Linked DNA regions of Drosophila melanogaster. The protein of the gene in region 2 purifies or fractionates together with the protein of the main gene of each other region. This does not show direct contact. Each region holds a gene or a part of one and is shown on either strand. Other genes may lie near its edges.

Evidence for each region. Proteins that work in one complex are often made in the same cells at the same time.
Region 1: the proteins of DppIII (region 2) and CG32536 purify together in Drosophila melanogaster (affinity purification with mass spectrometry, with the first as the bait; one large-scale study listed by BioGRID). This does not show direct contact.

Annotation. Positions count from the first base shown.
Region 1 is NC_004354.4:19,274,503-19,278,493, reverse strand, and holds CG32536 (uncharacterized protein), read left to right. Parts: upstream 1-1,595; 5' UTR 1,596-1,669; coding exon 1,670-2,017; exon of another isoform or gene 2,018-2,276; intron 2,277-2,965; coding exon 2,966-3,094; intron 3,095-3,154; coding exon 3,155-3,337; 3' UTR 3,338-3,490; downstream 3,491-3,991. Other genes in the region: CG8028 (uncharacterized protein), read left to right, coding at 517-661, 730-850, 930-1,191; CG32537 (uncharacterized protein), read left to right, coding at 3,666-3,991.
Region 2 is NT_033777.3:8,342,395-8,347,991, reverse strand, and holds DppIII (dipeptidyl aminopeptidase III), read right to left. Parts: upstream 3,593-5,597; 5' UTR 3,509-3,592; intron 3,184-3,508; 5' UTR 3,127-3,183; coding exon 2,969-3,126; intron 2,900-2,968; coding exon 2,593-2,899; intron 2,534-2,592; coding exon 638-2,533; 3' UTR 527-637; downstream 1-526. Other genes in the region: CG7352 (uncharacterized protein), read right to left, coding at 1-228; COX7AL (cytochrome c oxidase subunit 7A-like), read right to left, coding at 3,844-4,137, 4,193-4,219; PNKP (polynucleotide kinase 3'-phosphatase), read left to right, coding at 4,550-5,597. UniProt on the Drosophila melanogaster protein: Degrades neuropeptide proctolin (RYLPT) by cleavage between Tyr and Leu residues.

The DNA.
Region 1 (3,991 bases), on a different chromosome or scaffold from region 2:
GATTTAATTGAATTTTTGTTCTTGTGAATTATATACAAATAGATTTCTTTTAGGTATCACAAAATGCCAAAATTTACTTGCGAAAACGCAGTTTCAATAATAATTACTAACTTTTAACGCACACCAAACTTAACACTTTGAGCGATCATATAAGCAACTGATAAATCTGAAATCGATAACAAAAATTAAGTTATATGAGATTTAGAAGCAACTTAAAAGAATAAAAAACGTTCACAAAAAAAGGCAGAAACGAACGCGACGCCATTTTGAATTATTCGAATTCACTTTGTCCGCTTTCGCCGTTAAAAAACGGCTAATCGGAAACAGTATTTTACAGATTAAAAAAAAAAAATTAAAAACCTTGTAAAAGAAAAACATAAAAATAACATAAGCTTACCGTAAGAATATATAAACGATTTCTAAGTGGTTTTCCCAGTCTGATTATTGCGATTACCAGGTTATTTCCAGTTCTTTCAGTAACTTCTACATCCCATAAATAATATTGTTTTTTTTCAGCCCGACACGGCCACCATTATCGCCATTGGAGCGGCCGCAGACTTGGCATCTCGTATTTTCCTGGCCATCACCGCCGTGTGCATCCAGGTTCCTTCGAGATACATTTATTTGGCCGGAGCCGTTTTCACCGTCTTTGCGAGATTCGGTAGGCGAACCCTTCCTTGGGCTCCAAGAACTCCCTTCCTCCCACTAATCTCACTCATTTTCCCACAGCCTTCAACGGAATCACACAGTTTGTGGGCATGGCCTGCATCACGGCGGTCATTGGATTTCTGCGCACCTGGCTCCACGTTCCACTGCCTCTGGTCTTTGCCGACTACTTGCCCAAGGAAAGGTGGGTTCTTTTGGCAAGCTTATAGCATTTATCACAAAATTATAATATATATTCCTCATATATTTCCATCTCGTTTAAGGTTCGCCACTGGCTATGGCCTTTTCATGTTCATCCAAGGCAATGCCATGTTCCTCATCGGTCCCATTGTTGGGTTTATTCGGGACAAGACCAGGGATTACATTTTCGTCTTTCACATCCTAAACGGCTTCATGATCCTGTGCGCCGCTCCTTGGGTCCTCGAAGTGCTGATCGTCAAGTTTCGGAGGCGTAACAAAATCGAACGCAACAACGTTGATCACGAGGATGTTGATAACCAGGGACGTAGTGCAATGGTCCAATAAAAAAAACTCTACCACCCCCCCCCCCCCTTCCTTTTTTTTTAACAAAACATATCGTGAATTATTGAGGTAATTTAGGTACAATTACGAGAAGTATTAAGCAAATAAAACCAAAACATGTTTTTAGATGGGAAATTAAATTGTCAAAAGTATCATTTGCGATAAAGAAAAAAACAGCTTGTTCTTAAAATGGAAATTTGATAATGAAACATATATATTTAATATTTAATATAATAGCTTGGAAAAATGAATGTGATACAGTATTTTTCAAAAAAGGAAAAAACATAAATTCAAAAATCACAGTTAAACTGTTTAATACTTAACGGTAATGTCACAGTTTTCGGTATTTACAAATAGAGAAGTCGGTAGCTTAGTACAACCATTTGGTATTCGCCGCTGTCCACGTGGCGGTCACACTAACGGGGTCCAAGAAACTGAAATTTAGTAAATAATATAGAATAGGATAGTTAACCAGGTGACAATGCTGCAGCAAATCAAGATGCTGGTGCTGGGCATCATCACGCTGTGCCGGCGTGCCTTGTGCTGCTTCTCCAGGCGCCGCAAGCTCAGCCACAGCGGCTCCGCCACCGGATCCGCCGACCAACTGCAAGCGGTCAACGTGATCGTGGAGCGAGGCGACTTCTCCGCCACCGGCGCCACCTCCGCTGGCCAGGCCGGCGGTGGCAGGACAGCGGGGGCGCGCGAGCGGGACTGGAACTCCTGGGACGACAGTCCGCGCACCGTGGAGGAGCACATCGAGCAGTACCGCCAGCGAATGGCCCAGCCACCCACTCCGCCCAAGGAGGAACCCGAACCGGACTTCTTCAGTGTGAGTTGGTACTCAGGCAATGGGCGCGGATTACGCAGATTGCGCCGCTTGCACGGCCCATAGTCGTAGCCCAATTGTAGGGATATTCACGCTCGCTGATGGTGGGATAGTGGGCTATGTTGGGGCTAAATGGCGACATCCCCACCTGTACACGTATCTAGGTGACTTCGGCGTGTTTACCCTATACCCTATCAACTGCACAAGTTTGTATGTGGGCCATAATCACGTCATAAAGATTAGCAGCCATAGAAAACGACAGGTATAAAAATCTAGAAAGAAATCATTTTCGAAACTATTCACAACCATTTATTTCAAATTACGCTTAATTTCTAGTTGTGTTTAACTAAATATTTGTGGAATATTTAAAAGGTTTACTTAAAAAATATGAATATTTAGCTTATTACTGTGATAATTTGTTAATATTTCAATAGTTTTTTAGAAATTTCAAAAATATGATTTTATGAGTCCACAACATTTGAACCAGGAATACTTAAAGAGTGTACTTAAACGCATTATTTGTTAATAGATACTTGCAGATTTGACAAATGCAAATGTCAAAATATTTATCCTATGATTTTTAAAGCTATAAAATATAGAAAACTTGCATAGTAAACTAAAAAGTGAGTGCTTACAACGCTGAATAATATTTGTTAATGAACAGCCGTTTTTAGTTTGCTAATTGTTCATATTGAGGTATCTGTTTTATGAACAAAAACTCCATATTATTTCTACGCAACAGGCATTGATTTAAGTAAAAAATAAAAAACATGAAGAACCATCCAGCTAAATAAGTTAGTTAATACCTACAAAAGTAAAAACAAGCAAATAAAAAAATTGTGAATCACAATGCATATATTCTTTATATGACTATATATAGAATATATAAGTATTTATAATATCTGTGTTTCATATCCTCAACGATTTGGCTAAAATGTAACCTTCTTTTAGGAGCTGACGCCCACCATCAAGCCGCAGATGAAGTTCTACCTGGAGGATCCATCCACGAGTGCGGCGACCAGCCAACAAAGTGACTTTTCAAGACTGCAGGCCCAGGACTTGGTGCCAATTAGCGTAAATGTGAGCCAGTTATAGCCCGAATGGAATGCATGAAACGAACTAATGTTTCTTACTCGGCAGGCCGATCTCGAGGACTGGGTGGATGATAATGCCGGCGGCTGGGAGGAGCTGGACACCTCCCAGACCAAGCACATTCTGCGTGAGAAGCGTCGTGAGTTGCGCCATCAGCGACAGCCGCCCGTCCGCCCGGCCCCGCCCACTGTGGGCGCTCAGCGACTGACCGCCGGACAGCGAGCGGCGTAGTTGTAGCTGCACCAGCCCCTAGCCAACCTCACCAACCTCACCAGCCTCACCCACTCTGACCATTCCACAACCGACCACCTGCATTCTGTTTCCCCTTTCTTTTGTTCGATTTAGTTGATTGGCTACACGAAATAAATCTTGCCTTTCACTCGCACTTCCCTCCTCGCGGATCAGTTGGGCCACACTTCCTGATGGCTCTGCGGTTTGGACGCGCTCCATTGGACCCGCTTCCATCTGCAGTGAAGTGAAGTGGCGTGCAGTCGAGTCAGGCCGAGTGTCGAGTCCATAAAAGCGACGGCAGGCGACGGAAGTCGCAGATTTCTATGCGATGCTGTTGCCGGAGCTGCTGCTACTCGGCTTGGCCGTCTCCCTGGCGGACAGCTACGACCGAAGCGTCAACTACTGGGAGGCCTTTGCGCCCGGCAAGCTGCTCCAGCGCCTGGACGCTCTCACCGTCACGGATGTGGACCAATCGAAGGTGGTCAAACTGCCGCAGTTGATGCAGCCCATCCTGCCAGCCAACGAAGCGCAGGCCAAGGTGGATGAGGACGTGGACGTGGATGTTGAGACGGATGCAGAGGCGGCGGCCGTTGACGATGTGGACAGCCTTAGTGCGGAGACCAGCCACGAGGGCTACTCCGGCGAGGACAACTA
Region 2 (5,597 bases):
TTCCTGCGTCATCGCTGCCTCCTCGATGAAGTCGCGGGTTATGGGACTCACTTTGGAAAGCTCCTGGCTGCGGCTCACCTCCTCCAGGTCGTACTGCAATTTTCGGAACAGCTGTGAGCTGAAAAAGTCGTGCTCCTTGCGCAATGAATGAGGCACCTGGAATAGCGGCTGTCCGATGTTGATAGTGCCACCTTCCTTGTGGTTACCACGATTTCTACCGGTTGCCATGGTGGTCAAAACAATGCAAACAGAAATGGAAACGAGAAACAAAATAAAAAAAAAAAAACCAATATTTATCGACTGGCTACTATGAAAACATTCAATGAACAAATTGTAGTATTTGATTTTATATTTACATTCTTAATTGTGGAGCTATTATGAGCAATATACATTTGGTCGCAATATATGTATGTACATACAAGCAATTAAATTCAGGTCCTTTGTCAATATTTTCGGTGAATGGCAAAAACGATCTTAAAATCACCATTCACTACGAAAGTTTTACTATAAAAGCAATTTAAAATTTAAAATTGTTGGTCATTAGATGACTATATATATTTTTATATATTTTTTTTCAAAATCATAGTTAACAAATTGAATTGATAATGAAGGCGAAAATGTTAAATGCGAAATGTTCTCAGTTGTTGAAGGCAGTCGGGAAATACTTCTTGTCCTTCTCCACGATGCTCTCCAGAAGATCGTCGATGTCAGTGTTGGGGTAGCGCTCCACCCATGACTGGATGTACCCCTCGTGGGTGGGCTCGTAGGTCTTCAGCTGGACCTTTTGGTCCTGGCCGATCGCCGTGTTGGCCTGGACGAGAATCATACGCGGCTTCTTGTGCGCCAGGCAGATATCCCGCCACTTGGCCCACGGATGCGATCCGCTCTCGTCGACCTTCGAGTAGTGTTCGTACATCTTGGAAGCTGCCTCGATGTCGGCGGTGGATTTGTACACCTGCAGCTTGGTCAGGAAATCGCCCAGCGCCTTCCTGCCCACGGTATCGATCTTGCTGCGATCCACCGTCAGCAAAAGGTTTTTACCCTTTTCGGTTTCCTCGACCTTAACGAGTCCTTCGCCTGCCTCCAGCAGCACCTTCATGATCACGAAACGAGCGCGAGAGTGCGCCTGGAGCCACAGCTTGGACTTCGGGTTGAACATTTCCAGAGCCACACCCATGCCGTTCCAGATGAGACTCAGCCAGTTGACATAGATGATGTTGTCCTGCTCGGCTTTGTCCTTGAAGCCAAAGATCTCCAGGATGTCACGCTGCAGGGAGAGATACAAGCCCACCGCCTCGGCGCGGCATTCCTCGTACGAGGAACCAATTGCTCCGAACTTGGTGTCGTAAGTTTCTCCAGGAAGATACCACTTGGTGATGGGTTCACCGGTGACCAGGTTCTTAGTGTTCTCCTTGTCAAAGTTGTACACACCATTTTCGTCGATGCGGAATAGCTTGCCACTACCATGGCCTAGGAGTTCATGGAGGCCCACTTGCACCTCAAAAGCCTTCACCTTGTACTCTTTCATCAGAGTTTGATCCTCCTCGGTGAGGAAAGGAATGGGATCCTTGCGGTTGATGTTGGCCAGCACATTGCCCAGCGAGACGTTCTTGAAGCCTTCATCCTGGCGGATTTCGTCGTAATTGGGAATATTGATGCCCGCTGGTACTCCGCTGCCGGCAAATGTGAGGACATCCAGGGATGTGAAGTCTGGCTTCAGGTAAGAGTCCTTCTCGTAAGGCTCCGTCCAGGGCAGGTACTCTATTAGTTTCTCGGCGCGGTTCACCAGCTCGGAGAATTTGGCCGAGCTCTCCTTGTTCACCATGGCCACGAAGCCCTCGAATTCAGCCCGACCTCCAGCAGGATCCCTGTATGTCTCAATGAAACCAATGTAGGTCTCGATGACAGGTCCCTTGTCCTTGATCCACCAACGCGATCCGTTCTTGTGCTCGTCCAGCGAGCCCTGTTCAAAGGATCGGACATAGTGCTCGATCATCTTGGACTCGTTTTCATTGGCTGCGTATTTCTGGGCCTGCAGCAGATGCTGGTTGACGCGCTGAAGCAGCTTCTGGTAATCACCGCGTGTCACCCTAAACTTGTTGCCATTATACTCTTCCAGCGGAAGTGTGATGCCGTCCTGCGTGGACTCCGCCACGGAGCCCAGCTTTACATCGTAGACGGTTTGACCATTTTCAACTATCTTGAAGGTCCGGCACATGTACGGTTCGATACGCTTTGAGGTCAGCCAAGCGTTCACGATCTCGGAGTCCTCCTTGGTGCAGTTATCCGACCAGTAGGTGGTGATTCCGTCGGGAGCAAAGCCCAGGATCTCGTTACGCGACTCGAGCGCATAAATCAGATTCTTGACCTTCTCGAAGATCTTGCCTACGCGCGGCTCATCGCTGTAAGCAGCGGATGCCTTTACTATAGTCTCAAATTGCTTTTCTGAGAGATTGGGAACGATCTTGCTGTCGCCCATACCCTTGTAGTTGCCCGCGTTGGCGAACACACCGCAGGCGTACACTAGGAAGGCCTGAAAGTGATCAAAATTAATATTTATTTTCGAGAATATGAAACTCTCCTCTGCCATACCGTAAAATCATCAGCAGACACTCCCGCCTCCAGGGCTTTCGCCCTAAGAACAGGAATCTTTTCGGCTAGGAAAATGCGGTGCAGCAGGGAGAAGATGAGCGGCGCCTCCGGACTGGACTGGATCAAGGCAATGAGTCCGCCGTCCCAGGAGGCCTGGCTGAAGTGGTGGGCGTAGAGCTTCTCCTTCTCGGTGAGATTCTCGAAGGCACTCTTGCAGTCCAAATCGGCAATGGGCTGCGTGTTAGGCAGGACGAAGTGCGCGGTTTTACTGGCCATCTCAGCGGGTTGGGGAAGGTTGGTGCTGCAGCTGCAAAGATATCATATGGCGAACCGGACCGATTATATACATGGGCTTTAGATAACACCTGGCAAATACCTGTAACGAACGAGGGAGCTACAAAATCCCAAACTTCTGGAGATTGACGGTTGGACTGAGCGAATACTGGGACTGGTCCCGTAATTTAGACGACTACGGAAATGACACAGCCTGTTCAGTTGCTGCCGGGATCTCTGTAGCCCTCTTAGCCAAAACATTACTGGGAATTTTTTGAGAGTATTCTATTTGAAGACTTTACATTACTTGTCGCCCAACTGGAAAATGTGAAAAGGCTACTTTAATTTGGATGAAAAGCCAAATAACTCGGGGAACACATGAAAACTTGATAATGCAATTTTATCTCCAGCAAGCCGGCTAAACTGCAGATGTGGCAGTTAAGCGGCGTTTTACCACAAGAATATAGAAAACAAAACTATGGCTAAAATGGAGCCCGAAAACGTGAAGAACTGGCAGAGCCCAAGGAAAATGTGAATGTTTAAGAACTACGTGGTTAGTCAATCGCAAAACAAACAAAAACCCACCGGGCATTCGTGTTTTAAGTGGAAAAGATAATCAATAAGTAATTTCGTGCGTACTTACCTTTAAAAAGTGAGAAAATATGCAGTTAAGAAATGCCGACAAAAGTGCAAGTTGTTCAAGCAGTGTGACCAGCTGCTTTGTGAGTCGATATAACACCACATATGTGTTATATGATATGTGAATGGCAAAATATTGGCGGCATAATTTAAAAACTCCAATGAACACTTTGAAGTAAAGCACATTATTATTATTATATAATTGATTTTCCGTATTTGAACTACCTATGTACAGAAACGTTACTAGTTAACTAATGTATGTGTCGTTACAATTGGTATTTGCATTCGTGTACAGAGTATTTGTGTTTTGTGGGCTTGCTTGCATGATCTCTGTTGATTTTAGGCAATGATATAGCCAAGCCACAACCATACATCGCCACCTATGCCGAGGAAGCAGAGCACCCAGGTGAGTCTGTATAATATGTTATCCATACTGCCGCCTTTTAGAAAAATCGGCAAATCATTGTCCGCCTGAAATTGCTTCCTCAATTTGACCATTTTTGGAGGAACTTTTCCAGGACGTGTCTTCGGAGCTGCAGCTGCAGCAGCAGCATATTTCAAAGCAGCCGAGTTGCGAAATTCACGAATGGGCTTACAAACTGCACCCACATCACCGACTCCCCGAAGGAAGGGCTGATCGGAAAGAACGAATTAAATTAATGTTTTGTATGGAATGGTGGTAACTTACGCGCAAAGAGAAACAGTTTCTTTGCATTTACGTTTCCTGAAACTTTCTGGAGTATTCGGAACAAAATTTTGTCTGCCTTTAACTATCGAATAATGTTTAAGTGACACTATTACTATAAGCCATCTTTGATGGATTTAAGATTTCTGGAAGGGTTTCACACAGAGCCTAGGCTCCGATTTTTATATGGAGTAATTTATTTTTCAATTTAAATAGGTAAAAACAACCACTTTCATTTCAAAGTACATATGTCTGTGTGCCACTCTTCTTCTTTTAATGCCAAATTAGGTCACACTATTCGCTCTCTAGTGAATTTTGGTGTCAATATTAAGCAATGCTCTTATTTATTGATTAACCAAAATGTCTATGGCTAAATACCTAAACCGATCCGTTGGAAAAGCTGGCAAGGATGTGGCCGCCAGGATATGCACCCTTAAACCCACTGAGCCGGAACACCATTCTATACACCTGACCGCTGGGGAGAATTTCGTGGGACGCAGCCGGGAGACCGGCATCCGAGATTCCAAGTGCTCGAAGCGACAGATTCAACTGCAAGTGGACCTAAAAAAGGCTGTAGTTTCACTTAAAGTCCTGGGAGTTAATCCCTGCGGCGTCAATGGTCTGATGCTTATGCAGAACGGGGAACGCGAGCTGAAGCACGGAGACTTGGTGGAGATCGTTTACGGCAGGCATCAGTTCGAGGTCGTCTTTAACCCTCCACCGGAGTATGACAAGGAGAAAGCTGAGCCGTTGTCCACAACACTATCACCGTCAGAGAAATCCGAGAGGTGGGACTCATCTGGCAATGGTAAGCTGGTTATCTTTACCAGCGTCGGCGTTAAAGGTTCTGAAAAGATAGCTGGCTACGACATGGACGGCACCATTATAAAAACAAAATCGGGACTGGTGTTCCCCAAAAACACCGACGACTGGCAGATCATATTTCCCGAAGTGCCGGAGAAACTAAAGAATCTCCACAAGGATGGGTTTAAAATCTGTCTCTTCACCAACCAAGGAGGCATTGCTCGTGGAAAAATCAACCTAGATGACTTTAAGGTCAAGATCAAGCATATTGTGGCTAAACTGGGAGTTCCAATTCAAGTATTTATAGCCATAGGTGATGGATTTTATCGCAAACCTTTGACGGGAATGTGGCAGCACTTAAAGAGTGAAATGAATGATGGCGTTGAGATTCAGGAAGATCGATGTTTCTTCGTCGGCGATGCAGCCGGAAGACCGGAGACGGGCAAGGGAGCCACCAAGCGGCGCAAAGATCACTCTTTAGTAGACAGACTTTTTGCAGCCAACGTGGGAATTTCATTCTACACTCCAGAGGTTCATTTCCTGGGCAAACAAGTGGAGCAGTGGAATAAGCCGGACTTTGAACCCACTAGCGTTCAGGACCAAG